Lepisosteus oculatus: one gene and its partners. The protein of the gene in region 3 interacts with the protein of the main gene of each other region in a biochemical or structural test. Links are inferred from orthologs where the notes say so. Each region holds a gene or a part of one and is shown on either strand. Other genes may lie near its edges. The genes, in order: uba1, cul2, ubiquitin-conjugating enzyme E2 R1 and rnf7.

Region 1 (7,720 bases), on a different chromosome or scaffold from region 3:
TTGTGTATCAGTATCTCTTCCTTTTGGTCTTGAAAGACAGAGAGAGCCCTGGAGCATTTTTGAAAACTCAGAGATGTTGACTGGAGAATCTGTAGACAGGGGGTACATCTGCACACACACAGACACACGAACACTCACAGACAGAGAGACAGACACACGAGCAATCACACACAGACACACGGACACTCACACACAAAGACAGTCACACGAACACTCACAGTCACACAGACACATGAAAACACACACACAGATACACAAACACTCACAGACACAACAGACAAACAAACACACAAACACTCACACGCAGATATTCTTGCACATGCATTCAAAGCTGGGGAGCCACACAGGAATCTCAAGCACATGTTCCTTCTCTTTGAAGACCAATGAGGTTCATCGCATCCATTATGTCCGCAGAGTGGCCAGTCACCCGAGCAGGGCATCGGCGCCACGGTCCAGCCCAGCCCAGCCTCCCGCAGTCTGGAGCTCCACGCTGATTACCTGCTTGATCACTGGAGTGACTCTGGGCCAATGGAGGCTGAGCTGCTCTCTGACCATGAGCCGTGTCTCTACGGCCACAGTCAGAGGTCCCATACTAACAGTGCCGGGAGCTGCCAGTTCAGCACGTTGTCACTCCAGCCAGCAGTGGGGGCACTGAGAGAAAAGTGTTCCCCTGATCAGACAGTCTCTTTGGCCCCTCCGCTCTGCAGAGAGCAGCTGGGCCATGCCTGCCCAGAGGAGGGTGTGGGCGGGTGGCCGGTGTCACCTGGCGCAGGCTGGTGTCCTGGCCAGATGTGGTCACAGCTGCACTCCTCTGCAGGGCAGGAGAAGGTCTGGACGAATCCTCTTATGGTGGAGCAGCTTCAGCTTTGCTGTTCAGGTGGTTTCTTTGCAGCTTCCTTGTCTCTGCCCATCGAAGTCCAACACTGTATGACATTGTGCCTTAACGTCATTTAGAAAAGTAGGAGATCACCCTTTAACCACAACATGCTCAGTCTTAGTAATGTTCACCTACTAACACGTGTCGGATTTGTCAGGACCTGTCTTCCTGCTCCATCTGGTTAATGAATTGCAATGCTGGCCAGTACTTTAGGACCAGACTACTGTGTCCGACCAGTACGTGTCTGTATAGACGTCCGGGTCAACTGGACCTCCTGCTCAGAACTGGCCGGCACTGACAGCCTGAAATCCAGCTGAGCTCTGCAGGGGCCCTGGCCACAAAGCGAGCAATTGTGTCCTCCTGGACATGCTCGTTTCAAGCAATTAATCTGGGGATTGAGCAGCTGAAATGTATTCTGAGGAGGTCGTTAAGACAATGGCTGTGGCTTTTAAGCCAGGCTGTTCTGGGGCCTCAGCTGGCTGTCCCCAGGCGGCGAGGTGGTCCTGTAACCTGCCTGTTGTCCCCACAGAAGGCCATCCGAGTGACCACCTTCATGCAGCGCCTGCGCGCCCCCGAGGCCGGCAGCGGGGGCGAGGGGGGGGCGCGCCTGGCCGTCACCCCCCGCACGTCCATGAGTGTTTCCCACAAGGTGACGGTGGAGAGCCGGCCGGAGCAGGCCGGGATTCCCAGCAGCCTGTCGGTGGGGGTCTCCCCGACCTCCACCACGGACCCCCTTCCTGCAGGCGATCTTGGGCTGCAGCCAGAGGGGGGGGCGGCCAGCGACAGCGCGGGGACGACGGCGGCCAGCCTGGGGCCGGACAAGCCCAGAGCGCCCCCCGACAAGCCCCCCCCTTCGCCCCGCGTCGAGACCAGGAGGGTCCCAGACCGCGGCACCAAGGTGATCGTACTGGAGCACCCGGCCAGCCCCGGGGAGACGAGGTCGGGGTGCCCCCCGGACACCCCCAACAGGCGCAAGATGGCAGCTGTCCTGCACCGCTCTGCGGACGACACCGCCTCCCCGGCGGACCCGGAGACGAGGGCCGGGGGGCCGGCAGCGCGCCGGGGGGCCGCGGGGGGAGGGGCCGGGGACACGCCCGGGCTCCGGCCGGAGAAGGGGGACCGGGGCGCCGGCGGGGGTGGGAGGAGAGCCGGCGCGGCGGAGAGCTGGTGCCAGACACAGCTGCCCGAGGCCGTGGCGGAGAGGAGGGGCGCAAGGGAGCCCCAGGACGGGAGCCCCGGACGCAGGGACCCCGGCGCGGCCAGGGGCTCCCCGGGCGCGGCGCACCGCAAGACCGTGCCCGTCCAGGGGCAGCGCGAGGCCGCCGGCGACTGGCACATGGACAGCGTGATCGAGCAGATCGAGAAGCAGATGGCCGCAGTGCTGGAGAAGATCGAGGGCGACATGCCTTCCCTGCTGGAGCAAATCAGCGACCGGCCCTCCCCAGCGCGCGCCCCCCTGGCCCCCGCCACGCGCCCCAGCCTGCCCCCCTTCCCCCACCTCACCATCCCGCCCTGCACAGCCCCCCCGCCCCCCCCGCCGGAGCCGGAGCCAGGAGAGCAGCCGGAGGGTGAGGCCGGACCCGGCCAGTCGCAGAGAGGCTTGTGATCCAGCACACAGGGAAGCACTCTGGGAAATGCCACTCATGGCGATATACGGATACACTATTTTTCTTCTCTGTCTCCTGTTTTGTGTTTGCCCTTCTGAAGGTGTTCCTGCCCCTCCCTGTGCCTCTCCCGCCCGGCGGCCCAGCATGCCCCTCTGCGCTCCGCTGTGTTCTCTCCCACCCCAGCGGCACACCTGTTCTCTGACAATTTTTTGCATCTGTCAGCAGTTCTTTCAATAAAACTCTCAAGCAAAGCGCTGTGACAGTCTTCCCTTCCTGTCTGTGTGCGTGTCTGCGTCGCTGTCCGCCGGCCAGATGAATCCCGCTGGCCAGCGCAGGTCAGTCTCCGGGCTGGAGCTGCTCACCTCTGACCCCACGCACCCCGGTTTCTGTCCCAGTGGACACCCAGCTCCAGGCTCAGGCTCTGCCCCAGCCTGTCCCATTTCCCTGTGTGGACAGAGGAGAGACCGGGGGCCTGTCAGTCAGCTGAAAGGGCGGGTCCCTCAGCACTCAGGCAGGTGGGACTCGGGGTGCCAGCAGTGACTAGGCCGACAGCAGTCTCGTGAAGGACAGGTGAGGAAGCACCTCTTGTGCAGAGTACTGACGCCACAGAAGTCCGATCGCACACACTCGCTGATCCCGATACAGTAAAGGCAGAGGAAAACACACGCTGGATTATTTACAGTAACGCCTGGCTATGCACTTTCCTGCACAGCCAGTGTGGGACACTCCGTTCAGACTAAAGAGACTCAGTTCCTGTAGCCTGTCAGTGTGGGACACTCAGCAGACTAAAGAAACTCAGTCCCTCCAGCCTCTCAGTGTGGGACAATCCCTTCAGACTAAAGAGACTCAGTCCCTCCAGCCTGTCAGTGTGGGACAGTCCCTTCAGACTAAAGAGACTCAGTCCCTCCAGCCTGTCAGAGTAGGACACTTACTTCAGACTAAAGAGACTCTGTTCCTGCAGCCTCTCAGCAGCCATATCACCCTGCAGCTCAGAACTGGGAGCCTACTGGAGCCCAGCAGGTGTGAGCCTGGTCAGTATCTGGATGGGAGATCTCCTGGGAAAAACTAAGGTTGCTGCTGGAAGAGGTGTTAGTGGGGCCAGCAGGGGGCGCTCACCCTGTGGTCAGTGTGGGCCCTAATGCTCCACTATAGTCATGGGGACACTATACTGTAAAAAGGCCATCTCTGAACTGGCTTCACCACTCTGCTCTGCTCATCACCGATAGCTGGTGTGTGGGGAACGTACTGGTGCACTCTGGCTGCTGTCACATCATCCAGGTGGGGGTGGAGGGGATCCCCATTACCTGTAAAGCGCTTTGAGTTGAGTGTCCAGAGATGTGCTATGTAAGTGTGATGAAGCCAGTTCAGAAATGGGGATTATTAGAAGGCCATGATTGGTGAGGGCCAATGGGAAATTAGTCCAGGACACCAGGGTAACACCCCTACTCTTTTTGAGAAACACTTGGGATTTTTAATGACCACAGAGAGTTAGGACCTCAGTTTTATGTCTTATCTGAAGAATGGCACCTTTTTATAGTATAGTGTCCCCATCACTATACTGGGGCATTAGGACCCACTCAGACCGCAGGGTGAGCGCCCCCTGCTGGCCCCACTAACACATCTTCCAGCAGCAGGAGTTTGTCCCAGGAGGTCTCCCATCCAGGTACTGACCTGCTGGGCTCCAGTGGGCTCCCAGGTGTGAGTTGCTGGGTGACATAGCTGCACACTCATGCAACTAATTTGCGCTATTAGCCAAGGTGCGCGGGAGCTCGTGTCTGAGGCGGTTCGCGTGTGCTGGCCGGCAGGACCGCGTGCCTCCGCCTGGACCCTCCACGATGACATTCTGAAACCGTTACCTCACATTTCAAATCTGCGCTTCAACATGACCGTCGGCACCAACAGACCGGCTCGCCACCGGGCAGCAGAGCCGGACTACAACTCCCAGCAGCCTGCGCGGCAGCGCTCGGACCGGGAGGACCCAAGCCATGCGAACAGAAGGGGGGGCGAGAGTCCTAGTTGTGTAAATAATTTTAGAGCTCCCACCAGTATTATGGAGAAATACACAGAAAGTCACTAAACTTTAAGACTGTGTTAAAGTCTTTGATTCCGTACAATGTGAGTCTTGTACGCCGTCGTGCGTAAATGTATTTTTCTCTGTTTCTCCCCCATCTCAAGATGGTGGCGCGGCCCCCCGTCGGAGCCCCTCTGTCCGCACATGTTGCTTTATTCTCGCTGCGCTGCTGGGAACCGGCGAGCCGCCTGTCTCTTCCCGTGTGAGAAGCCACCGAGCTCCCGCCTTCGCCGTCAGCTCCCACGGGGGGTTCTCTCTGTCTGCTCGCCCTTTCGATTTTAAACACCGAGGAGCAGGTCTTAGCAAGATCGGATGTGGTGAGTGCGACGCCTGCTCGCGTTGGACCCCGGGCCGGGGGCCGGGAAGACAAAGCTGAACCGTGCTGGCAGGTTTGGGGGCGAGGGGGGATGGGGAGCGCGGGGAGTGAGGGCGAAGGGCTGAGGGTGTTATTTATGCACTGGGTGTTCCTGCCCGACCCGGTGCTGCCTGCTGCCGGAGCCGAGGATGGAGCTCAAGTTGCTGCCCAAGTTTCGGAGCTGCTCGCCACCCCGGCGCCCGGCCACCTGTGCGGCGGGCAGTGTCCGGGCCGAGGGGGCCGGGGCAGGGGCCGGGGAGGGAGCCGGCGTCCCAGCCGGGGCCGGGCGAGCCCCAGGCCGCAGGGAGAGGGGTCCGAGCCGGGGGGAGGCGCCCGGCTGGGCCTTTCATTGTTGTGTAGCGGTTCCCGGTCTGCACGGCGGATCTGAGCGCCAGCCCGCAGACTTGCAGCCCACGTCTGCTTTGTTTGTGCTGCCCGAGGTCGCGGTCCCTGCTCCACGGGTGCAGTGTTTTCCCGGGTGGCTGGGCTCCCCACGAGTGGACGTGGGCTGTCATGACGTGCCTCTCGCTACGGGTTCTCGTGCAGGAGGGGCGACGCAGCTCCCTGCTCAAGTGCGTCAACATACTCTTTTCCCTTCATCCTCTCTAAACACACTGTACCTCAGCTCTAACCACTAGCCCACACTGCCTCCCTCTCTCTCCCCCAGTGCCTCAGCTCTAACCACTAGCCCACACTGCCTCCCTCTCTCTCTCTCAGTGCCTCAGCTCTAACCACTAGCCCACACTGCCTCCCTCTCTCTCTCTCTCTCCCAGTGCCTCAGCTCTAACCACTAGCCCACACTGCCTCTCTCCCTCCCAGTGCTTCGGCTCTAACCACTAGCCCACACTGCCTCCCTCTCTCTCTCCCAGTGCCTCGGCTCTAACCACTAGCCCACACTGCCTCCCTCTCTCTCCCCCAGTGCCTCGGCTCTAACCACTAGCCCACACTGCCTCCCTCTGTCTCTCTTTCCCCCAGTGCCTCAGCTCTAACCACTAGCCCACACTGCCTCCCTCTCTCTGTCCCAGTGCCTCGGCTCTAACCACTAGCCCACACTGCCTCCCTCTCTCTGTCCCAGTGCCTCAGCTCTAACCACTAGCCCACACTGCCTCCCTCTCTCTCTCTCCCAGTGCCTCAGCTCTAACCACTAGCCCACACTGCCTCCCTCTCTCTCTCTCCCAGTGCCTCAGCTCTAACCACTAGCACACACTGCCTCTCTCTCTCTCTGTCCCAGTCCCTCAGCTCTAACCACTAGCCCACACTGCCTCTCTCTCTCTCTGTCCCAGTCCCTCAGCTCTAACCACTAGCCCACACTGCCTCCCTCTCTCTCTCTCCCAGTGCCTCAGCTCTAACCACTAGCCCACACTGCCTCCCTCTCTCTCTCTCCCAGTGCCTCAGCTCTAGCCACTAGCTCACACTGCCTCCCTCTCTCTCTCCCAATCCCTCAGCTCTATCCACTAGCCCACACTGCCTCCCTCCCCAAGGCCTCAGCCCTCACCAGTGGGACGTGTTCAGAGTGGGTTGGACAGAGCTTTTGGACATCAGCCTGTGGCCGTGATTGTGGGCAGCAAGACAGAACCTGATCAGTGAATTTGATTGTTTGTGTACGGCGAGTGACATGCAGCTCAGTCCCTGGTGTAGTTGAATAGCAGTGCAGTTAGGAGGACCAGGTCTGTCAGGGTTACAGTCGCTGGTCCTGGTGTTTGTGTTCTGTGGGCTCTGCTGCTGGCTGTCTTGACCTGCTGATGAACAGAAACAGCACGCCGAGTCCAGGAGAGGGGCAGTGGTATGAGAGCAGCCCGGTCCGGGGCTCGCTGGCTCCACCGAGCCGGTTCTACATGACTGTTTCAGGGCCCCAGGGGGAGCGAGATGATGATGATGATGATGTTGGGGTTGAGGAAGGGTGTCACCCTGTGATTGATGACTGTGTTGTTGATGACCATATCTGTGGTTACTCAGTGGAGTTCTGGGTCACACTGTTTCTGGCTAAAGACTGTGGACGGTATATTTACACCGACACGCTTGGGACATCTTGCCAAACTGCTGGAGAGTGCCTTCTCCTACGGTAATGGACTTGGAACCATTTATTAATGAGATGGGCCAGGTGGGCCTGGTCGCTTACTGAGTGAAGAGACGGCCCTGAGGATCCCAGCGGAGCTCCTGGCTGGGCTTCATCCCAACTGGCAACATAAGGCATCCAGCAGCCTGACAACTCCCCTGCGGGCTCTGGGGGGTGAGTCTCCAGGGGTGTCCAGTCCAGGTCCTGAGGGGCCGGTCAGTGTGCCTGCTCCAGGGGTGTCCAGTCCTGGTCCTGGGGGGCCGGTCAGTGTGTCTGCAGGTCCCTTTAAAGAGCAGCTGGGAGAATCTGTCACATTGGTCCAGTAGGTCTAGTAACCAGCTGGCTTGGAATGAGAACCGACCCCACCAGGACCGGACTGGCCACACTGCTGAGACACTGACCCCACCAGGACCGGACTGGCCACACTGCTGACACACTGACCCCACCAGGACCGGACTGGCCACACTGCTGACACACTGACCCCACCAGGACCGGACTGGCCACACTGCTGAGACACTGACCCCACCAGGACCGGACTGGCCACACTGCTGAGACACTGACCCCACCAGGACCGGACTGGCCACACTGCTGACACTGACCCCACCAGGACCGGACTGGCCACACTGCTGACACTGACCCCACCAGGACCGGACTGGCCACACTGCTGAGACACTGACCCCACCAGGACCGGACTGGCCACACTGCTGACACACTGACCCCACCAGGACCGGACTGGCCACACTGCTGACACACT
Region 2 (7,556 bases), on a different chromosome or scaffold from region 3:
TTGTTCTTGCTGGGTTTTTTTTAATGAAACGAATAAAACCCAGTTCACAAACAAATGTTTAAGTTAAAATAGGCTAAGAGTTTTTGACTACAGAAACTAGCTTGTGGCTGTGTTTTGAAAGTGTCTCTTTCTCCCTTTACCGAGCTTTTGGAAATGAAGCAAGTTCCAAAGAATGTATTTTTGTGACAATGCGTTTGATATGCTGAATTGAATATTTAAATAACTGATCATCTGTACAGAGGAAAAGATAAATCTGCATTGTGCAAGCTGCTACAAATAAATAGTTATACCTTCTCTGATTTTAGTTAGCCACATCATTTTATGCCTACAAGCGATAGTGAGTATAATATTGTTTGCTTAATTGTACCTTTGATCAAAGGAATTGTACAGATAAAGATAAACATGTTCATACTCTGTATTGCTGAATTGCACACTGCATGGTCATTTATGAACAAAACAACACTTTTTGTAGTGTTGGTATGTGTGGTACATACAGATACAGTATGTGGTGGTTGTTCACTGCGATATGTGATATTTGTATTCGCCTGTTAAGAACATGTGCAGGTTGCATCAGATGCATTAAAAAGATACTATATTAACAGTGATTTACCAGGCCTTATTTCTATTACTTTCTGTTACTAACCAATTTATATGTGATCACTGAACTTGGGAGTATATAATTAAGTACCAAAAGTAAACAGAACACTTTTGCCTTACCCTAAATTACCTGGAAAATTCAATTTTAGGTTGTGTACAAAATCTTAAACGGTGTAACACTGTATGTACTTCCTGCTGCTGGAATTGGTGGTAGTAGGGCCAGTAGGGGGCGCTTACTCTGTGGTCTGTGTGGGTCCTAGCCCTAGTACAGTGACAGGGACACTTTACTGTAAAAAGGTGCTGTCCTTCGGATGAGATGTAAAACGAAAGTCCTAACTCTCCGTGGTCATTAAAAATCCCAGGCTGTTTCTCGAAAAGAATAGGATTGTTACCCCGGCATCCTGGTCAAATTTCACATTGGCCTTTACCAATCATGGCCTCCTAATAATCCCCATCTTTAAACTGGCTTCATCACTCTGCTCTACTCCCTACTGATGGCTGACGTGGTGTGAGCTTCCTGGCGCACTATGGCTGCTGTTGCATCATCCGGGTCGGGCTGCACCTTGGTGGTGGTGGAGGGTAGTGCCCATTACCTGTAAAGCGCTTTGAGTGGAGTGTCCAGAAAAGCACTTTATAAGTGTAAGCAATTATTAGTAGTAGCAATGGTACTTTTGACCACTTCTAAATTAGGATGAAAACAGCACTAAAAACTATTTTCTAGCCACTAGATGTCACTAGAATTTAATATTCCAAGTTAATTTATTATTTTACAAGCATACGTATAGCTTTTATGTACACTTTCATAATAAGGAACAATAGGTTTATTCCATGCTGAAAAGAGAAGCAAGAAAACACAGCGTTTTGGCTGTGGAGCCTTCTTCGCACACCTGACTTCCTTTGCAGCCTACGCATGCTGACGCAGCAACCCACCTGAACTAATTTCATAATATATATGTACAGATAATATCTATTGCAGACATATTATATATACAAAGTTTCTATAAAGAAAAATGAGCAATTAAAGATATTAAAATAATAGAGGTTTACCTGAGGTTAAACAAATGTCTTGGGTTCAGTGATATAAATAGTAACAGAAATCATCATTGACCCACGCTCAGTTGGACATACTGAATATGTAGTATAATGCATTCAGGTGCCACAGCTATAAAGCTAAGAAGCAAACAAGCAGCAGTCCAGACTGGGCAAGAAGGTTAAATAAGATCCCAAGGCATGGTTTAAAATCAAATTTGGCTGAAAGTTGTAGAAAACAACACTTCCATTTCTGGGCTTTACATAAATGTATATGTTCAAGTTCAGTTGAACTTGAATTACTTTAATATCTTAATATTTAGTATGTACAGTATGTGCCACCCACTGCATTTCCTTCCTTAGGTGATATATTTAATTTCTGTGTTAATAAAGCTGTCCAAGCCGAAAAATTGTGTAACCTCACCAAAAGAAATGTCTGTGGACAACCACTGTATTTCATTTCATACATCAGCTGCAACAGCCAGGTTATGGCAAAGACATTATCAACATGGTGTAAACATCATATTTAATTATTTAATAGCTGTATGATGTTTGAATAAATGTTGGAGTAAGGAGTGTCAAAGTAATTTACACAACTACGAAACAGAAACTCAATGAAACACCTAATAATCAAAGGATAAGATTACAAATGAGTGCTTCAGTCCCACTATCTCTCCTGCTTAATTTTCATGTTTTACTGGTGGTTCTTTTCTGGGTTGATGGTTAATATCATTCTGAGTTTGAAGGACTGGTTTTCCTGAATTCCTCATTTCATTACTAAACCTTCCTCCGCCGTGCCTGTGTTAGACATGTTTCTGAGGACAGGTGTTAGCACAAGTTACCATATTCAGCATTCTACACTTTCTCAAAATATATCCTCCATATACACTGATGGACTTTCTCGTTGCTTCATCGCCCCGCATCCTTTCTTATGGATGACACAATTGAGTGCGACTGAAAACTTAAACCCACTTCATCAATCGCTTTAGGTCCTTGCAACTTATTTTGTACTAGGGGTTACCTGATACGTCTAGCTTTCATTATTAGCTGGAATACTGGTCTTGTTTTATCGCATGATTTAAATATATAACGCGGTTCAGAAGTCGTCACCCTGCATAAAACACAAGAACTACATTGTGTTTTCTGTGTGCGGGAGGGAAAGACGGGGCAAAACACAACCGGCGCCAAAAAGATGAATGTGAAATAAACTAAAAATGCCCGTTTTCGTGCTACCGGATTCACAACACTGTGTGCATGTAAAGCGATGCATGAACCAGCCGGGCAAACGCCTACAGCAGAGGGAACCCCAGGACGTCATTTCTCCGGGCAACCGCGGCGTCCCTCGGAACTCGAGCCGCAGGAGAGCGCGCGCCGAGGCTGTTGCTGTTTTCTTTCGCCGCGCTTGTTTTCCCGTCCGGCCCGATTTGAATCGCCCGCCTCGCGCGCAGAACGCAGCCCGAGGCTGTCCGCAGCGACGCGGCCAGAAACGCCGGAGCTCGCCGCCTCCTTGTAACCCTCTTTTTAGCACCGCATTTGCAGGCCGACTTCTGTACTTTGTCCCTCCCACCCGCTCGTCTGCTGTAATCCCGCCCCTGAGTGGGTTGATTTTTTTTTTCCCCCCGTAGATCTTCGTGTTTTGTCAGAGGCGCCGAGGACCTCGCCGACATTTTACACAGCTCAGCAGCATCAGAGCTGACGTGGCGGCTACGTGTGCAGCGGCTCAGGCCATCCACTCCTACCGTAATCAGTGACGAGTCCCACTACGTAAAAAACATCGGTAAGTTATTACAGGCACTGCAAACAAGTGGAGGCTTTGAAGGGGGGGAAAGAAAGGAAAGACAGGGAGAAGTTGCTTGCTGACGACTTGGTCGTGGGTACTCTGGTGACAGCAGCACAGCCTCCTTAGCAAAGACACCGCTTCTCGCCTTTAGCTCTGGTTTCCGATACACAACTATGCTGGTTGCATTAAAAAAAGTAGATGTCCTTAATGATCTCAGAGTTTAGTGCAAATAATAACGTTAGCAGCCGACGGACGTAATTGGAGCGATGAAAGGTTCAACGTCATTTACAAGTTGTAACTTTTGTTTTTTTTTAAGTGTAAAGTTGCCAAGTTAATTATTACAGGAGTAACTCGGGACACTGTGCGTGGTTAATTAGATGACTAGTTTTAATTGTGAAGTAACTGAATTAAAATTTATGAGGGATCGTTGTGCATTTCGGATATTGTACAAGGGAACAATTCCTTTCGCAGCGAAAGGGTGGAAATGTTATCGGTCACGCCTAGACAGCTTTATCAAAACTTCTCTGTATTTAGTGCAATGTTTCTTTTCACTTCAGTGTTTCGACAGCGGGGTGTACTGGAAAGCGGCGTTCTAAGAAATGACCTAGTCTGCGCGAATTGGCTTCCAGGTTTTAATTAAAATGAATCTGCTTAGTAGTTCTTTAACAGTTCTCGTTTTTAGTAACTTGCAGCACTTTCTTTGCGCAATTGACTTTTCTTTTTTTTTGGCACTTCTATGTGACTGCGTGGTTCCTTCACATCGGATATCTGGCCACAGCTAAAACCCTGCTAGGTCTTGAATAAAAAGAAACGTGACGTGACGGGGATCTCATGTGTCTTAGTCAATAAGCTCAGGATCGCTAGACAGCAGTGCTCGCTGCGTGTGGGGGGAGAGAGGAGGGGGACTTGAACCGAAAATAGTAATTAGAAATACAGTTCCGAGGCTCTGTGCCGTCAATCAGATGGATATCCAAATATCTTCCGACTTATTGTTATAAAACCCAATTAAAAATAACTTCAAGTGTACTGAAATGCCGCCGAAGACGTTTATAGTTTCTGTGTGGCAGTGTATGTGCGAATGCAGAGTTTATTTAATGTTTTAACTTCGCATATAACGTTTAGATATGTGCATTCAATTATTCATTATTTCATTTATATTTTTCGCGCAACGTCACGATTTTAGGTTTTCATTGCAAATGATTGACTTATAGGTATCTTTGGCGGGAAAGATTTTTTAAAAAAAAATCGAAACCGATTAAGTCAGTTTTTCGGGTTACAATGCGACCTGATAAGTTAAAAAAAATCCGCTGTTGGATGTGTTATTTTAATTTAAATATTTTCATTTAAAATGGCGTCCGTTGCTGAGCAGGAAGGTTCTAGAAATGGCGCAGAACCTGTCTCCTCCCTTCTGTCCAAAAACCGACAACGCCCTGCTCACAGCATTGTTTTTTTCTAATGGTTGTTTTTCTACTGCCTGTGGAGGAGGGTAGCAAAACCGCTTGCGTTAAACATGAACGTAATTCAGTTATGATTTAGCAATAATTGTATTAAGCTAAACACACTGAATAATAGGTTTAACCGTGAGTTTTTTTTGACCAACTGAACCCAATTACCCGAGTTCAGTTCAATTATCTAATTATTTATATGCCATTATATATTATAGCGAGGTTTTGCTTTTTATAAAGTGGTGTTTGCAACACTCGGTTTTGCTAAGATTGCTAAAATAAGCATGAATTAAACGTGAATTGTATTAAAATATTTTTTAATAATTAACTGTGATTAATTACTGTGATTGGCTTGTGTGGTGAGGATGGTCGTTTAAAATGTACAAGAAACCAAGCATATTTGTTTAAGAAAACTCAGTTTCCTCAAACATGGTATTATATTTTGACTGCTTGTGTCAGCCCAGGAGTGTAACTGCAATGTAGCTAAATCCCTTCAGGCATGGAAATTTGTTAAGGCAACAGTACATCTTTTCAGGTTTCTAGTCTCTAGTCTGGTCTGAACCAGTAGAATATTTTAAAAGTTTAACCTAGTGAGTTTCTGCTTGGAAACACCCAAAACATTTTAGAGAAGTTGCAATTTATACAGTCTGAACTGTGAGAAACAGATGTTTTAGAAATATACATTCATAATAGTATAGGTTAGGAATTTAGGAAGAAAGTTATAACAAATTATCTTCAGTGTACTGTATGAAGTGTGCTGTTGGTAACTTCAAGTATGTTACACTGGTGGAAAAAATAATATTGGTCTGCAATTTCTGAAATAGAAAAAAAAACATTTTTAAAACAATTTGATGCGCACAAAAGGTATAACCAAAGGACAACATTTTGATGTGTTTTGTATTTAAAGCATAGGTAAGATGTTATAAAGATAAACTCTCTCACACAGACCTCAAAAGTATTTGACCTTTAGCTCTCACTAACCTCCAAATTTGATACCTAAAGTATTCTGCCTTGCTGTTATATTTCCGCTGCCACTGCAACCATGTGTGAGTAAAAGGAGCAATATCCTTTGCTTTGTCACTTATTGGAATGCCTAGCTACAGTGTATTGTCTAACCTTTTGCATGTTACTGTTAATACAGAGCCATGAAATATAAACTACATTTTACAGTCTGCTTCTTAGTTGTGTATTGTTAGTCTTGTGTAGTTGTCAACAAATTTACATATTTTCTTCTGGCCTTAAAATAAAAATTATTCATTAAAAATGGTTGTTTTCAGTTCTTTTCATCATTGTTCATTCAAAATATATATTTTGAAGAAGATACGGTATAATGTTCTCTCAATGTACATAAGGTGTCTTTGGTGGAGGTTTCCAATATGTCACAAATTCTTAAAGAACTGTCCAGGAATCTTCTAATATTTCAGTCTCCTTTTTAGTATTTTTAATGTTTATTTTTATTAAAACCTCGAAACCTAGTTCTTTATAAGTCCCTGCTTTAAATCATATACATTCTTCAAATCTGAATATAAAACATTTATTGGTCACAATGACCTGATAAAACGACAGAAAAGGTAAATATGGAGAGTTGGGTAAGAAAATGAAGAGGGGAGCCGCAAGTCTGTAGTAATAGAAATAATTAGGGCTGTATGTGAAGGATTGCAACACCTTTTATTTTGAACTTAAAAGGACTGAGGCTTTGAGTGTTTGAAAATGGTTTACATAATTTGTCCGTTTTGAAAACATTTGAAAGTTCCAATTCTGTACACCTCTATCCTTATTAATGGAATAAGACATCCTTTAAAATGCGTAGAATTTAATGATCATGTTTTAAATTCTAAATGGAATTATAATGCAAGGTGGTGTATCCCCATTTGTGAGGGGTACACATATGTGTGCTGTTTTACAAAGTCAAACTTTCTTGCAGTTAGTCATTTATTTTCTATTTAACATGCATCATATGATTAAATATACAGCAACAGCAAAAAAATTGGTTTCAGATACAGTAAATGTTCTTGGCCAAGAAATTGAGTGCTTGCATGTCGTTAAAATCTTAGTGATTAGTTTTACAGAATTATGTTTGAGCAATGTCTCTTATGAGGCCATTGTATCGCCCTCCTGTATTTTCTGAGTTAATATAACATTGATGCTTTAATAACGTGAGAATTTAATAGGGACAGGGTATTATGAAAGGACAACATATGAGTCTAGAAATGGGGCTTATTCCAAAACTGAAAGATAGGGGTAAAAAAGTATGATTAAAACATTTGATTATATGACTAATATACATTTTAATTGATTGTGCTGGCCGTATACAGTATATGCCAACTTGGAGCACTTGTCATTAAAACTTTATAGGCAGAAACAATATTTTTCTAAGCACTATGTAAGTTGTTGAGTGAATTATTATTATTAGGCTTCTAACACTGTAATTGTATCTTTTTTTTTCTAACTTTCACTTCTTTGATGGTTGAATGCTCTGATGTTTATTATCTCCAGACAAAGTATTTAATATTTTTTTCTATAATGAAATGTTGGGCAGATCCATCAAAATGCTATGACCAATGTATTATGTAAACATTTCAAAATCAAAATGGCAGCTTTAAAATCTATTAGAATTTATCCCAAATTCAAGCACCAATACAATGGGGAAAGTCTAATTCAAAATGGTTACTTGAGCATTTCAGAGCTTGATCAGGATTGGAATG
Region 3 (7,562 bases):
CTGGGCCAACCCGACCCTCGAGGTGCTGAACACAGAGAGGTCAGAACAGACGACTGCATCCTGGGACATTCCTGCAGGTCAGCGATCCACAGCACCTGGGGAGCAGTGGATCCTGAAGGACAGACCCTCAGCCCTAAGTGCCCACTACTGGTGAGGGGTGGGGAAGCAAGAAGGGGGGTCCAACACTGCCCCCCAGGAGCCACGGTCAGAGCGCTCAGTCCGGGGGCAGGCTTGCTGTGGGCTCTGCAGGATGACTCGGTCTGTGCAGAGCCCCTCGAGTGCGGCTTCACCTCAGAGGTCAGCCCAGCCCACCCCCGAAAAGGCCAGAAAATAACCAACTGGCCAATCCCGACCTGCTCCACACTCCCACAACTCTCCGTGTAAAGAATGATCCTCCATGTCATTTCCACTTGTGTCCTGGGTTCATGTCTGCTTGTCATGTCCACAGCTGGTCTGATCCAGGCAGAGCTAGAGCAGCTCACTAACAGTTTCACTGGCCCTCCAGAACCGGCACTGGACAGCCCTGATCCAGTCCGGGGTGCTGAGCCCCCAGGCCTCAAACCACAGGCTGCTCCCCCTCCAGGCCTCCACAACAAACCGCCACAGACTTCCGCTGAATTCATTTCCTGGATTCAAGCCCTCGGCTGGAGATCCTGTTTCGGGGAGGTTCCTGAAACCTGTTTCGCTCAGGCAGGAAGAGAGCTGACAGGATTCCCGAAATCCTAGCCTCACCGCGCATTCCTGACATCCCAGCGGAATCTGTCACAGCTCTGCCAGCCTCCCCTCCTCGGCCCACGCAGGCCCAGCCTAGTCCCAGGCAGGGTTTGTGGGTCACTCCCTTGCGCCCCCATTTCATTCACTTAGCCAGCTCCCCGCCTGCAATCCCTGCCTGTCCACCACTTTCCTGGCGCGACTGACCAACTGACCACAAGCTCAGGCCAGTCTAGCACGGCCTGGCCAGCTCTCGCGGCCCATTGGCTACTCCAGCCGTGAGGGAAGTGATGTCACCCCTCCCCGAGGAGAGCAGGCGATGACATCACAGCCCGGGACCTGGTGTCAGCCAGCAGTTTCCTGTGACATCACACGGGGAAGAAGGGACATTTCCAGAGCCTGGGCTGTAGGGGGGCTCTCCTGAGATCTGTGGATTTTTTTTTATTACAGTTTTTGGTGTGAAGGTCTGGAACCTGCGCTCCAGTTTCTGATCAGGATTTCAGCAAACCTTTTCAAACAGCCCTGCGTTCCAATCAGGGCCTAGCTTGTGGATCTCAGAACAATACAGCATCTTCAGAGGGGTCTAAACCATCGTGCTCAGCATGTGGGGTTCCCCTACCGCCCCCCAACTCCGGGCACGAGCGAGCCAAGCAGGCCCAACTAGGACAAGTGACCCCCCCCCCACGCAGGGCTGTGCGCTCCCCCGGGCCCCGCATCCCCTCCTACACTGTTGCTGGGGAGAGAAAAGACGCGAATTCTCCCCAACAAAGGAGCAAATGGCTCCTGTCTGAGCAAAGAGCCGCCGGACCCGACCCGCAGAGGACAGGTGGGCAGGACGTGGCGCGGAGTCCAGCGAGAGTCCAGTAACACGCTCAGTCCTGATTATCGGCTCTGCAACTCGAAACACTGCAGAGCAGGAGCACAAACCAGACCCCCCCCGTTTTTATCAAGCACTGCACGTAGCAAAGTCATATCACGACGCGTTTCCCAGTGGTCAGCCCCCGGACACAGTGGTCAGCCGCGCATTAGGACAATTCAGAAACAAACAGAGGACACGCGGCAAACCCGAACCAAGCGAGAGATTCACACCTCCGCGGTTCACTAGGGGGGGGTTGGTGAGACCGGTCGGGTCAGCCCGTGTCCGAGCCACTGCCCCCCGCAGTCGGGTACCCCCGGGGGGGTCGGGACACCAGCGCAGCCCAGTCCGGAGCTCAAACGGAGCTAAAAATACCAGCGCAGCAGCGCGGAGGCTTCAACCCGCTGGGGAGGTTTAAATATTAGAACAAAGGAGCCCGGAGGCTCGGGCGGGGGGAGGGGCGGACGGGCCCGACCCGGCAGGGAGAGCTCCCGGAGACAGCCGGTTCCTTTGTCAAGCGCAGCTTCCAGGACAACTCGCGTAAAAACACTAATTAGGCAACAAAGGAATCGTTAATGAGCGCACCGCACTGCCGGGGAGCCCGAACCTGCCGAACAAGGGCCGGGCCGGGCCGACCGGAGAGCTCCCGGAGACACGCAGGACCGCGGCCGCCGCCGCCTCACCTTGAAGTAGCCCCCTTCGTAGTGGGTGTTCGGGGGCCCGAAGATCGCGACCTCCCAGTTGTAGAGGTCCGCCTCGTCCACCAGCGTGATGCGGAAGCCCTCGACGGGCTCCTCCTGCAGGCTCTTCAGCTCCAGCATCAGCGCCTTCTGCGAGCTCGCCACCGGGCCGTGCTGCGCCATGCCGCCGCGGCTGCAGCGCTCTGGCAACGGGGATCGGGAGCAGGCCGGCCTCTGGCCCCGGCAGCAGCACACCCTGCGCGTCTGCTCTCACTCCGGGCTCAGCACGGCCGCACAGGCTCGGAGACCCAACCCGCGTCCGAGGCGCCTGGCTCGGCTCGACTCGTCCGCGACTGGTCCGCCCGATCCGAGATTCACAGGCAGCGGGCTGAGCTCACAGAGCCCTCTTTTTCTCTTTTAGGGGAAACAAAAACTTAAAACAAAATAAACAGGCAAGCGGATGTCCGGCACAGTCTGAACCCCCTCCTCGCTCGGCTAGCGGCTGCGGTCTGCTGCTGAAGTCGCTTCGCGACAAAGGCAGCCCAGCAGTGCGGAAGCGCGATCTTCTGGGAACTGTAGTTCGATCGGAGGCTTGTGTGGATCCCAACACGATTCGCCGAATACCTGGTGCTCACCCCGTAGGCAGATGCCTATTACAAGTGCGTCGTCCTCTTAATTAGTGTCAGGCGCTTGTGTTATCCGGTGTATCGATCGCACGATCAAGCTTTCGTGATCCCGAGATAGCAATGAAGGACTACAATCCCCGCACACCCGCTCGACAGCCACACGTGAGTCGTGGGACAGCTGTTGTGACGTCATAGAGGTGGTTGCTGGGTTTGGCTTGTGGTGGCAGGAGGAAGTACGCTACGTCACCCCGAGCTTGTTTTTAACTCCCATTACCAGGAAAACAGAAAAACAAACTTTGCGCCGCGTATGAGTTTAGTTATCAGCTCTCAGATCCTCAACACCACCGATATATCATTCAGGGGGAAAGAAGTTTAAAAAATGTTGCCAACTACGTGTTAAAATGCCAATGAATTTAACTGTCGGTTATTATTTTTTATTGAGTTCATCCTGTGGTGACCACGTTAGCAGTGTGATAGCTTGTGTAGTGTGGAGCCCGATGAGAGCAATTCACATTTCATTCAATACAATTAAAAAGAATCATGGCCCCCTAATAACCCCCATCTCTGAACTGGCTTCATCACTCTGCTCTCCTCCCCACTGAGAGCTGGTGTGTGGGGAGCAGACTGGCGCATCATCCAGGTGGGTGTGGAGGGGATCCCCATTACCTGTAAAGAGCTGAGTGGAGTGTCCGGAACAGCGCTGTTACTGTAAGGATTATTATTCAGAACACTCAGCCCTCTGCTCTGCCCTGTTATGACCTGCGCAACTCATCTGTGGTCCTCCCTACCCCTCCTCCACTATTACACCACCGATCTGCCCTCCCTCTCTCCACTCCTACACCAGCAATCTGCCCTCCCCCCTCTCCACTCCTACACCAGCAATCTGCCCTCCCCCCTCTCCACTCCTACACCAGCAATCTGCCCTCCCCCTCTCCACTCCTCCACCAGTGAGCTGCCCCCTCTCCTCTCCCCTCCTCCACTTCTACACCCGTGATCTGCCCTCCCCCTCCCTCTTACTGGGGACACTGTCAGCTGTGCACTAGTTACCCTTCCTCACTGCACTTACTGTGATTGAGGCCCAGAAGACGGGGAGAGCAGGTGACCCGTGCGGCTCACCCCCTACCACAGGACTCCAGCTCAACAGAACACCATCCTGCCTCCAGAGCACTGAGTCAGCACTCCGACCGGTGTAGTGTGCTGAGTCACCACTGGCTCTCCAGGGCCCCCCCAACTCTACAGCCACCTCTACAGCCTCCTGCTCACTGGCAGACTTCGATGTTGGAACTAGCCTATAAAACTAGGGGAGTCACTTATCGGGGTAATAAACATTGCATATTGTTAAATACCTGTACATTCCTTTTTCAAGGATACTTCAGTTTTTATTGAATGCTCACTCATCCCAGCCAGTGGCATCAAAGGTCCAGGGTATTAATTGAAGTCACCAGGGCCGGACACATCTCCGATACTGTTTTCCAGCAGTGCTGCAATCGCGACAGGACAGTTTACAACACAGTGGAATGAGCTGGTGATGATCAGCACAGACTTACAGTCCTTATCCCTCATTCTGGGTTCACTGCAGCCCTGGAGTGTCGACCACGAGAGAGGGTGGCTGAGCTGTGAAAGTTCAGGTCGTCTCCACTCACTCTCCTCAAAGAGCCTGTCTTTCCCCAAGACCAGCGCCTGAGGGGGCCTTGGGCCACAAGTCGGATCAGAACACGTCACAACAGCAGGATGAGACAGCAGTGAGACACTCCCTTCTCCTGCAGGCAGAGTGATGGGAGCTGCTCACAGTGGTCAGGCCAGCAGTCGGGCTGCCTGGTTCCTGCTGAGACCTGCTGGGGCTCGGCCCAGTCTGCTCGGAGGACTTGTTTACTCCCCTGGATGTGGTCCAGTAACACCGCAGCGCTTCGTGCTGAAATCAGAGCTAAATTTAGGTTGTGGTTCTAGCTCCCTCGATGGAGGCCTACAGCACTGGCAGCCTGTGCTGTGACAAACTCCAGTGTCTGACTCATCGTCCCGGGACACAGGCACACAGAGGAGAGGACAGAGGAAGAACTGTCAGGACACAGGGAGGGAGGAGAGGACAGAGGAAGAACTGTCAAGACACAGGGAGAGAGGAGAGGACAGAGCCATTCTCAGGACACAGGGAGAGAAGAGAGGAGAGGACAGAGCTATTCTCAGGACACAGGGAGAGAAGAGAGGAGAGGACAGAGCTATTCTCAGGACACAGGGAGAGAAGAGAGGAGAGGACAGAGGAAGAACTGTCAAGACACAGAGAGAGAGGAGAGTACAGAGCCATTCTCAGGACACAGGGAGAGAGGAGAGGACAGAGGAAGAACTGTCTGGACCCAGGGAAAGAGGAGAGGAGAGGGCCGCTGTCAGGACACGGAGGGAGGAGAGGAGAGGACAGAGGAAGAACTGTCAGGACACAGGGAGAGAGGAGAGGACAGAGGAAGAACTGTCAGGACACAGGGAGAGAGGAGAGGACAGAGGAAGAACTGTCAGGACACAGGGAGAGAGGAGAGGACAGAGGAAGAACTGTCAGGACACAGGGAGAGAGGACAGAGCCGCTGTCAGGAGAGAGAGAATGAGCCCTGTGCCTACACTGAGACGATGGGAGGCTATCATGTGCCAATGCGGGGTGCCGACTGCTGGCTGCTGACTCAGGGTAAAAGGTCGCAGAGCTTCTCCCTGGATCACTGGCTAAACCACACTACAGCATGAACAGATGGCCTCTGTCTCTCCCAGAGCACCGAATCCTCACGCACCACCCCCCAGCCCCAGCCCTGCACAGGGACACAGAGCTGGCAGCTGGACAACAGGCTCAGTGGCGGTTCTGCTTAACGACTGAAAGAGAGCCCTGATTACAGCACAGCTCTGACATGCGACTCCACTGCTTAGCCAGAGTAGCAGAACTCTGGGCCGAAGACCTAGAGGTTACCAGGTTGCCAGGAGACCAATCACACCCAGTGACAGACACCCCCCAGTATCTCCTTCTGTGAGACGAGAGGCCTCCACCTCCTGGCTCAGGGCCCAGGACACACAGAGCACTCTTCCCGCAGGGAATATCTTCTTGTTCACAATGAAAACAACAACAACAACAACAACAACGTTTATAGACATCCTGCAAAAACTAAGACTTGAACAACAGATATTCCGCTTTTTGTTTTCTGCTGCTCCTGTTAAAATAAACGCCCCCTAGTGGAAACAGTGAAATAGTGTTAAAGCTCTAAACTGAGGACTTCAGATCCAGTGAGACAGTGATTCCGTTACACAGCAGACTAAAGACTAAAATCCCAGACATCACCAGTGTCCTTATCATACATCAGAGTTTATTGGTTCACCTTGACACAAAGACTACAGCAGCTCAGGTTTCTTAAGGGAATGTCGATAGGAAATTCTTTGTTTATCCTTTATATATTCATTTAAATCATTATATAATGTCACATCATACAGCCGATATAAATCAACAGAATAATCACACAGGATGTCCTGCTGGGAGATGCAGGCGGGAGAATATTTTAGAGGCTGAAGTCACGGCACTACAGGATAGCTACCAGAGAACTGACAGTAACGCAGGACGATGTGTTTCTTGGGGTTCAGCTCCAGCTGTACTGAACAGAAGGCTTGAAGAGCCAGACTGCACCCCCCCTCAGCCTGTTCTCACCTACAGGAATAGCAGCCCCCAGGCACTGCAGGCGGATCTGCCTTCCTGCCCACTGTACACGAACAGGAAAAGCAACCACTCTTGGAACTCCACTTCAAATTCAAAATAAATACACGGCTACAGACAGGAAATGAAGGGGCAGCCCCTGGGGTCGGCCCCGGGTGCGAGCCAGAGGACAGCTCTGTGTGCAGGCGTCTCTCTACATCTGCACCGCTGGTAGGGAGGATCTACAGGAAGGAGCCGTCCAGCACAGCTGCAGTGCAGATCAGGGCTCTGGGCTGGTAATCACCTCTGATTTAACTGACCAATTACCACCCAATTATCTAACTAATGGATCAATTACTGAATTAGACAATGTCCGTAGTTGCTTGCTGGTTCAGGGACTGTGAGGCCCAGGGCTGACCAGTGGTGATAGCTCAAGCCCTTCAGCCCAGATCACTGGTGCACCTGGACTGAGGCTGCGGTGCATCACTGGTCAGTGTGCGCGGTGACCAGCCTCTGCTCCAACACATGCACACTTCCTATCAGCCGGATCAATCGATTGGCGGAGGGGTCCTGTCAGCAGGGAGTACTGGCTGGATTACCGGAGGAGTAGCCTCCTCCCCATGCAGAGGCACAGCCCTGCAGGGCTCACAGACACGAGCCGCAGACATGACTGAGACAAGGAGGCATCGACTGACTCAGTCAAGTCATTAAGACATCAGGGCCAGAGGGAGACCTGGACAGGCTGTGGCTCCTGGCCAGCACACCAACGGCAGGAGGCCAGGAGTGGGGGAACGGAAAACAGACAGCGAGCTGACACCCGAATCGAACATGGGAACGAACAATAACAATCTGAAATCAAGACATTGGAGAGTCCCGCCTGGGGGCCGAGAGGGGGGCGTCAGGAATGCCTGCGAGAGTGTGGCCTTGGAGGGGAGACGGGAAGGAGAGGAGAGCAAGGAGAGGGGCAAGGCATTAGCATGGATTCCTTCAGTCTTCAGCGACTCCTCTCCTGGGGTGGGGGCGAGGCGTGGGGTCTT
Region 4 (7,266 bases), on a different chromosome or scaffold from region 3:
CTTTTATGAGAGACATATGGATCGTTAGATCCCAACGTACACGCAATGATAACATGGATCCGTGCCCTGGGACTATCACAACCTGAAGCCACTGGGGCATTCAGGACTGATCTGCTGTCACCAAGACTTCAGCAGGACCACCAGAAAACATCTGTGATTGATTTAAACCCAGTGAACCATAAGTAACAAATTAGGAGGGACTTCTTAAGGCTTTGTTTTTCATCCAGTAAAAATGTATTCATTAGGATGAAAGTTTCCCAAGAATTAAGAAATAGACTATTTAATGGTGACCTCCATCACCTGCTAGATTTGATCTTTCTTGATCCAGGACTGGATAATCTCTGCTGTAAAGAATATCAACTGTCTGTCATATCAGTCTAAATAAATTAAACATGGTGTAGCACTACAACTTTATATACTGTATAGCTATGATAGTAGACATTTGATATTGTTAATGAGTTTTGTGGAAATAACATAATTGATCAACTCATTGAAGAAATAGACATTTCAAGGAAGTCCTAATAAAGTACAATTCACTTACAGTACAATGCTTGATCCCTCATGGGGAAGTAAAGGTAATTGAAGAAATACAATTGCAACAAATACAGATGGATAGAAAATTAAATAATTGAAACACTCCACTAGCATGTCAGTCTCTGATTGCCTATAGTGAATGCTTTTCCACTGTCCACCTTCATTTTGAACAAGCTGGTTCACTACAGTACTATTGCTCCTGTTTTTATCAATCAGATCTATCTGTGCTTCTATATCAGGACTGATAAATAGACAAATGTGCAAGATGTTCATATGAGGAGTGGCAATCTTTCTTTAATTCACATATCATGCTTCACTTTTCAAAAACAGAGGAGAGCAAAGCAAGGCAGTGGATCAATATTTGCCATCATGGGGTAAAGTCAGTGCCAGATTTCCCATTAGACACTGTAGGCACAACATGCTTGCGATCAACTGTAGGTGCTCCTAGCTATCTAGCGGCTGTTCTAGAAACTAGATAGAAACTATCGAAGTGATGGTTGCTCGACTTGCTCCATCAATCACATGGTTTAGCATTAGAATAGTTTAAAGTGCATCATGTCAATCAATGTAATTCCATTGGTGTTTACCCCTCTTTTTGTACATTTTGGAGTGGAAGTACATAGGGCCTACAAACACCAAAATCCGGCCCTGGGTAACGTGACTTACTACATCACTTGCTTTTGCACTGTCATTGATTATTTAAGCTTTTGAGTCAGACTGCTAATTGAATTTCAGACCTGCTGGAACTCAGCTAGTATCACTTCCCTTCTCCACATATGGCTCAAATGCTGAGCAATGAAACAAAAATGTGCACATTTTCTTTCAGATAGTCAAATAACATTCCCCCTGTGGCTTTTCATAAATGATGTTTTATAGAATTAAATAGATTACAATGTTATGAGTTTTAATATTTTTTAAAACAATTTTATGGAAGTACAACTCACAACATTGATGTTGAAAGGCCAGCAGGGGATACATTTATTTTGAGGCAGCTTTCTTTTTTCACTTAAACCCACATTCACGCTGTGTTAAAACTGTGAATTAGGCCAGCTTTCATATTTACTACATTGTTTCATGATATGAAAGATAACACTTCTAAGGAGTAATGTTTGAGGTACTTCAGCTAAAGTTACCAGCTTTACAAGAGTAGCCTGCTGAAGCTACATTTTTGCTGTTTGTTCTTTGTGGTTCTGGAGCTTAAGGGAATGCCCTAAACTGACAGGCTGAAGGCACTGAATCTTTTTAGTCTTCAACATGGATGGTTTTGAGAGTAAATTATAAAATTATTCACAATCATCTAAGGCAATCCTGCTGAATTCTTCAGAATTTATACTGAAATAAGAATTAGAAGGCACAAGTGCAAACTACATGGAAGAGCAATTAAAACTGGCAACAGGAAGCATTTCTTCACCCAAATGGAATGAGAGTATGGAACAAGCCCCAATACCCTGGCTTCTTTGGAGAAACACTGTGAAACACTCAGATCAATTGACTACTAACTACCAATTGAGCTAGATGAGCAGAATAGCCTCCTCTGATTTGTAACTTTTCTACTGGTCTTCTATTCATTCCAATCAAATGACCACCTTTTGTTCTCGGTTTGCTTCTAAGTTCCACAGCATCAGGTCTCTTCTTCATTACCAAATGGGCCCAAGAACTGGAACCACAAATTCATGTCTGTGCTTTAAAGATCTGTATTCAACACTCACTGCATCTACAGCCTCCTACCCACTTGTACTGATGTCTTTGTTTAAGAGACTAACCTACAGAGATATTTTATTATTTTCTTTCAGTTTCAATCAGTAAAATTACTAATCTTGCATTTCTGTAGTGCCCCACATACACAATGAATTATCTTACAGTAGAAATTGAACATCTTCCTTCTATTTTTAAACATTTATTGCAGAGATAATCAATAAATGTTTAAAGACAGCTGACAATATCTGAATAATGAAGCAAAGAGGGTTATTAGGAAAAGTGATTTGAATGATCTAGATTCTGGAATGGTCAGTGAACTAGTCCAATGTGCAGATGATGTCAAAAAATAGTTTGACAAATTGAATACTCAGTAATCACTTGTCAGGTGGCATTTAATGGAGACAAATAGTGATAAAGCTGAGTGGTAAATGCACATACCAGAAATTCAAACTAAAAAAATAAGACAGAGGACAGGGAACATGTAGGAGCTACCTATTGACAAATTACTATCATCCTCTAGACAATGAGGAGAAGCAATAATCAATCAATCAGAATTAATGTTGAGCTACATTGGCATTTAAAGTGTAGCATTTAAATCAAAGGATGTTAAAATTGTACAATGGACTAGTAAGAACTAATTTAGAATATTGTGTAGTATTTTGATAATGCTGATTTGAAATCAGGCCAAAAATTACAAACTAGATACATTCCTAGGTTTAAAGGAATGTCCTATTCTAACAACTAAAAATAATGGCTATATTTAGTCTTGGACAGCTGAAACTGTAGAGAAGTTCACTTAAAACAGAGAAAAGGGGACAGAATTGTTATACAAAGATGGGAGTCTTCAAGAAGTTACCCAGTCATGTTGCTGAAGCAGATACTGACTTGTTTCAAGAAATGGCTGGATGAGATCCTGGAATCAATTAACTATGAATTACTAAAGCCTGTTACATTCTTGTGAAGTTAAAAACATTATTAAATGCTATATTGAAAAGCAGGTATACCCATACTATTAATACTATCAAACTGCCTTGTATTTCTGTTTGTAAGGGTATACTGTACCTTAATTGGTAGAAATAAACAATATTTTTTGTTGATGCATTGTGTTCTTTTTTCTTGAATTGTTTTGTGTTGCTCTGCTCAGGAAACAGTGGCTGCTGTTGACTAATGACAGAGCCCAGATTCAAACCAGTGATGAAGGGGCTACAGGACTCTGAAAGTTGGGAGCTCTCATTTTTTTTTCTGTCTGTTTATAGCTAAAGATCGCATTCTCATACAATAGCTGCTATTAGTTTTCCCAGCTGTTACTATGAGACAAAAGAATTGTTCTTTTTTTATCATGGTCCTGCAAGAATGTACGCATTCTTCATGCTGTTATCTATACTATGAGCACTGTTGGTCCTCAAACAGCTGAGTATCTGATATCGGAACCACAACAGTGTTGTTTTATTTCTTGATTGGCGTTATTTTATGCCCATGCTAACATTCTCAGCTCCTTTTTCTATTCCGTTTGAAGGTTACCATGCTGTGCTACAGGAATAACCCAATAAATAGAAGATTACATACAAGGAATGTGTTCAAAAGTAACAAAGTTAGAGAGTAGGATCTCAGGATGAAACTGTATCTGACTGGCTGTGGTTGACTGTTTGCTGTTTGTCACTATAGAAGAATTCACTTAGCCCTCCAAAGTAGAAGAAAAACAGAAAAGAACTAAGAATACTTTAGTTTCTGTTGGGTCACTGCTTCATGCAAACACAAAATGTACAAAAAATAAATTTCACTTTTAACTTCAAACCTTATCTTTCTTATTTTTGTTTTCTTATATTTAATTTTTTCAGTGTTATATGTCATTAAAGCTCTGTGTACAAGGGATCAACTAGTGAATGAACCAATTTTAACTGATCAACAGAAAAAAAACAAGATTATTCATAAGAAGCTTTAATGTTGCCTACTTGTTTTAATTATGTCCTTAATTCACCTGAATGATGGTAACTGAAAATTATTTTCAAATTACAAAAGCATGGACAGAAACAGCTGAAACGGCGATATGAAATAAAGAAATAAAATAAAATCTTTCTTGCAAAAAATGTCAGGCTTAAAAAATGAAAAGTATCTGTCTTTATACTCTTAACGCTTTAAAAATGTTTCACATGGGACTCATTATCACATTTCTTTGAAAAAAGGTAGGTCACTCTAAAACGCAGAGCTCTGATTGTGGATTAAAGCATCTGCTGTGCTGAGAGGTATTGAGTTGAAAATGCAACACCAGTGAGCTCTCTTTGATTGACTACTTCTCTTTGAGCCAGGTATTTATCTCATGCCCAGTCTCACTCCTGAGTAGCCTGGGGGAGCAGAGTGTTTTACATTACAGGGTACAGTGTCTACTTTGGGCTTCTCCTTGACTGGACTCATTTATCCTGTGCTTCTGTTACCATGTATGAAGTTTTTATTTTTAGAAATTTTGGATTTTCTTAATTTTTCTGCGTTACTATGTGTGTGATGTGTGTGTTTACCACAGTTTGCATGTGGTATTACAATTGTTAAATCATAAAACATACTAGCCTTTCTACAGTATGAATATTATGTTATTATGCTTAATATTAGGACAGTATGATTGAATTCTACCCAAAACAGGTATCAATGTGTTAAAAATTATATTTAATATTAAATTATATTAACACCAGTAGCGATTTAAGATTACGTTGGAGCTTTAGCCCCATCTTGCGGTTGGCCCTTAGTAGTACATTGGCTTATTGTGCTGTGCAGCCGCACTGGTCCGTCCATTTTGTTTTCCCTTGTACCATTGCTATGGTGGAGATGGATGACGGAGACGAGCCGGTTTTGATTCCTTCTCACAGCGGCGGATCTGGCTCTAAATCTGGAGGAGACAAAATGTTTTCCTTAAAGAAGTGGAATGCCGTGGCAATGTGGAGCTGGGACGTAGAGTGCGATACCTGTGCCATTTGTAGAGTTCAGGTTATGGGTAAGTGAAACAAAAAGAGGACGGCTTTATCGTGTCTTTTCACCAGAAAGGAAGTTGTGGATCCTGTTGGTCGGCAGCAGCAGCCATGCACCTCTTTTTAATGTAAGAGGGGGAAGTGGTGCGATGCGGGAGTTTTTTTTTTAAGATTTGGTTGATAAAAGCAGTAACATGCAGGTCGCGTCGCAGTAGGCCTTGTGCACTTATCAACAAGAGAATATTGTAGCTTCGTAGCAAAATCCGACAATGTTGTTGTTTAAGTAATAAAGTAGAAAACGTTGTTTCGAGTGAATAGTCAGCATTACAGTTATCTCTATTATAGTGTATGTAAGTATATAATTATAACTAGCTGTCTGAGTTAACATTTTACGATTTTTGTAACGAAAAATGATGTAAAAATACGTGTTAAGTTGCGGCTTTTTTTTGCCTGTGGTATGTTAACGTATTGGAAGTACATTTCAGATTTTTACGTCAATTTCAATCTGGCAGTGCATGTGTTTTTCCTGCTTGTTTAGATGCTTGCCTTCGATGCCAGGCGGAAAATAAACAAGAAGATTGTGTCGGTGAGTCCCCTGTGATTTGATAGTGTTATCTGGTGAAGCATGAAAGCTGGACTAAGAATTAATTGCCTTAGCCGTTCAGTGCTACTGGTTACGGCCCACCTTTGCTTTAAGAACATATGGTTAACAATAATTTAAATCTGCAGAACATTACTTGAATAACCAAATAACGCAGTATCAAGAAAACGGTGCTGGCGTTTTACTTTAATCGTGATAAGTGCAAAGTTATTTTACATACTAAAATCATGGGAGTAGTTTGTCTGCTTCATATTCCTGATACTACCGCATTTTTTGTGTCCAGAATTATCTTGCTTGAAGAAGTCGAGAGATAACAGTCATCTCTCGACTTCAGAATAACGATCTGATAAATTATCAATAGGTGCCTTGACGTTCTTATGGTAATCCAGACCCCTTTTAATGACCTCACTGCACAGCATTCCTATGCATGTAAAGGGCAGCTGCAGTTTACTCGGACCTCTTGAACCCTGTCCAGTTCATGAGCTCTCAGAGAATGTGATCTGTTGCTTGGTGGATTTTTAAAGCCAGCCTGTCTCATCCTTTTCCTTTTCAGTGGTCTGGGGAGAGTGCAACCACTCCTTCCACAACTGCTGCATGTCCCTGTGGGTGAAACAGAACAACCGGTGCCCACTCTGCCAGCAGGACTGGGTGGTTCAGAGAATTGGCAAGTGAACGCGTCCTGTGCATCAGGTGCAGGCTCACCCTCCTCGTACAGGCCTGAATTTGGACTTGCCAAGATGGGCTTGCCTTTACCTCTCGCCGTGTGGGGCGGCTACCATCCGTCGGCCTGGGACTAATCCGTTCATTTGCCGGGAAGCGGACAGCTCCTGCAGACCTCCTGGGAGCAAGTATGAATAGACGACCCTCCAGGAAAAGGCCTTCCAGCAGTTCTCTTCGCATGTTTCGTGACTGTACAGGAGCCTGTTTTACTTGGTGATGTAATAAAACAATCAAAAGAAAATAGGTATCATCTGTTTGTGTGAAACCGAAGGATGGGAAAACCCAATGGGGGAGGATTTTAGGGATTTAAAGGGCCTGATATCTGGGAATGCTTTGCTGAGGTTGGGAACAGGATTTTAAAAGACAGGCCTGGGAATGATTTGACGGTATATACTGTAGGTCAATCAAAGCAGAAGCTGGTGTTAAATTGTACTTTCCTTTTTAAAAAATGACGGTAGAAGTGCCAGTCCTCTTGACATGATAGCAGTTTTGTCCAGGAATGCATATTTCTAAACTTAATGGTTGTTGTGTGTTTTTTTTTTTTGGTTTATTCAGTGTTTATTTGAATCTTTCATTATAAGAAGGATAAGCCAGAAGGGAGAAAGGGTCTCTCCCTAACAATTTTAACTGCTCTGTTATTCTTGAGTGTTTGATTGCAAGTGTATTTACTGATTATTTTTTTTTACCTTCTACCCTGGACATCATCTCAGTCTGCTGCATGGTCAGATGATTCACTACTCCCTTGTTTTATTTGAA

What was found.
Region 1: of the proteins of ubiquitin-conjugating enzyme E2 R1 (region 3) and uba1, one has a biochemical effect on the other in vitro, tested with the Homo sapiens proteins (7 studies listed by BioGRID, with this or other methods). The link is inferred for Lepisosteus oculatus from reciprocal best matches to the Homo sapiens genes CDC34 and UBA1.
Region 2: the proteins of ubiquitin-conjugating enzyme E2 R1 (region 3) and cul2 form a complex in vitro, tested with the Homo sapiens proteins (2 studies listed by BioGRID). The link is inferred for Lepisosteus oculatus from reciprocal best matches to the Homo sapiens genes CDC34 and CUL2.
Region 4: the proteins of ubiquitin-conjugating enzyme E2 R1 (region 3) and rnf7 form a complex in vitro, tested with the Homo sapiens proteins (5 studies listed by BioGRID). The link is inferred for Lepisosteus oculatus from reciprocal best matches to the Homo sapiens genes CDC34 and RNF7.

The regions. Positions count from the first base shown.
Region 1 is NC_090697.1:77,869,934-77,877,653, forward strand, and holds the start of uba1 (ubiquitin-like modifier-activating enzyme 1), read left to right. Parts: upstream 1-4,702; 5' UTR 4,703-4,872; intron 4,873-7,720. Other genes in the region: camkvl (caM kinase-like vesicle-associated, like), read left to right, coding at 1,407-2,483. UniProt on the Homo sapiens protein: Catalyzes the first step in ubiquitin conjugation to mark cellular proteins for degradation through the ubiquitin-proteasome system.
Region 2 is NC_090701.1:38,381,460-38,389,015, reverse strand, and holds the start of cul2 (cullin-2), read right to left. Parts: upstream 3,011-7,556; 5' UTR 2,920-3,010; intron 1-2,919.
Region 3 is NC_090724.1:9,517,440-9,525,001, forward strand, and holds the start of ubiquitin-conjugating enzyme E2 R1, read right to left. Parts: upstream 3,009-7,562; 5' UTR 2,431-3,008; coding exon 2,251-2,430; intron 1-2,250. Other genes in the region: ap3d1 (AP-3 complex subunit delta-1), read right to left, coding at 7,562-7,562. UniProt on the Homo sapiens protein: E2 ubiquitin-conjugating enzyme that accepts ubiquitin from an E1 ubiquitin-activating protein, and catalyzes its covalent attachment to other proteins by an E3 ubiquitin-protein ligase complex. In vitro catalyzes 'Lys-48'-linked polyubiquitination.
Region 4 is NC_090708.1:15,894,715-15,901,980, reverse strand, and holds rnf7 (RING-box protein 2), read left to right. Parts: upstream 1-5,003; 5' UTR 5,004-5,040; coding exon 5,041-5,215; intron 5,216-5,727; coding exon 5,728-5,775; intron 5,776-6,343; coding exon 6,344-6,462; 3' UTR 6,463-6,751; downstream 6,752-7,266. UniProt on the Homo sapiens protein: Catalytic component of multiple cullin-5-RING E3 ubiquitin-protein ligase complexes (ECS complexes), which mediate the ubiquitination and subsequent proteasomal degradation of target proteins.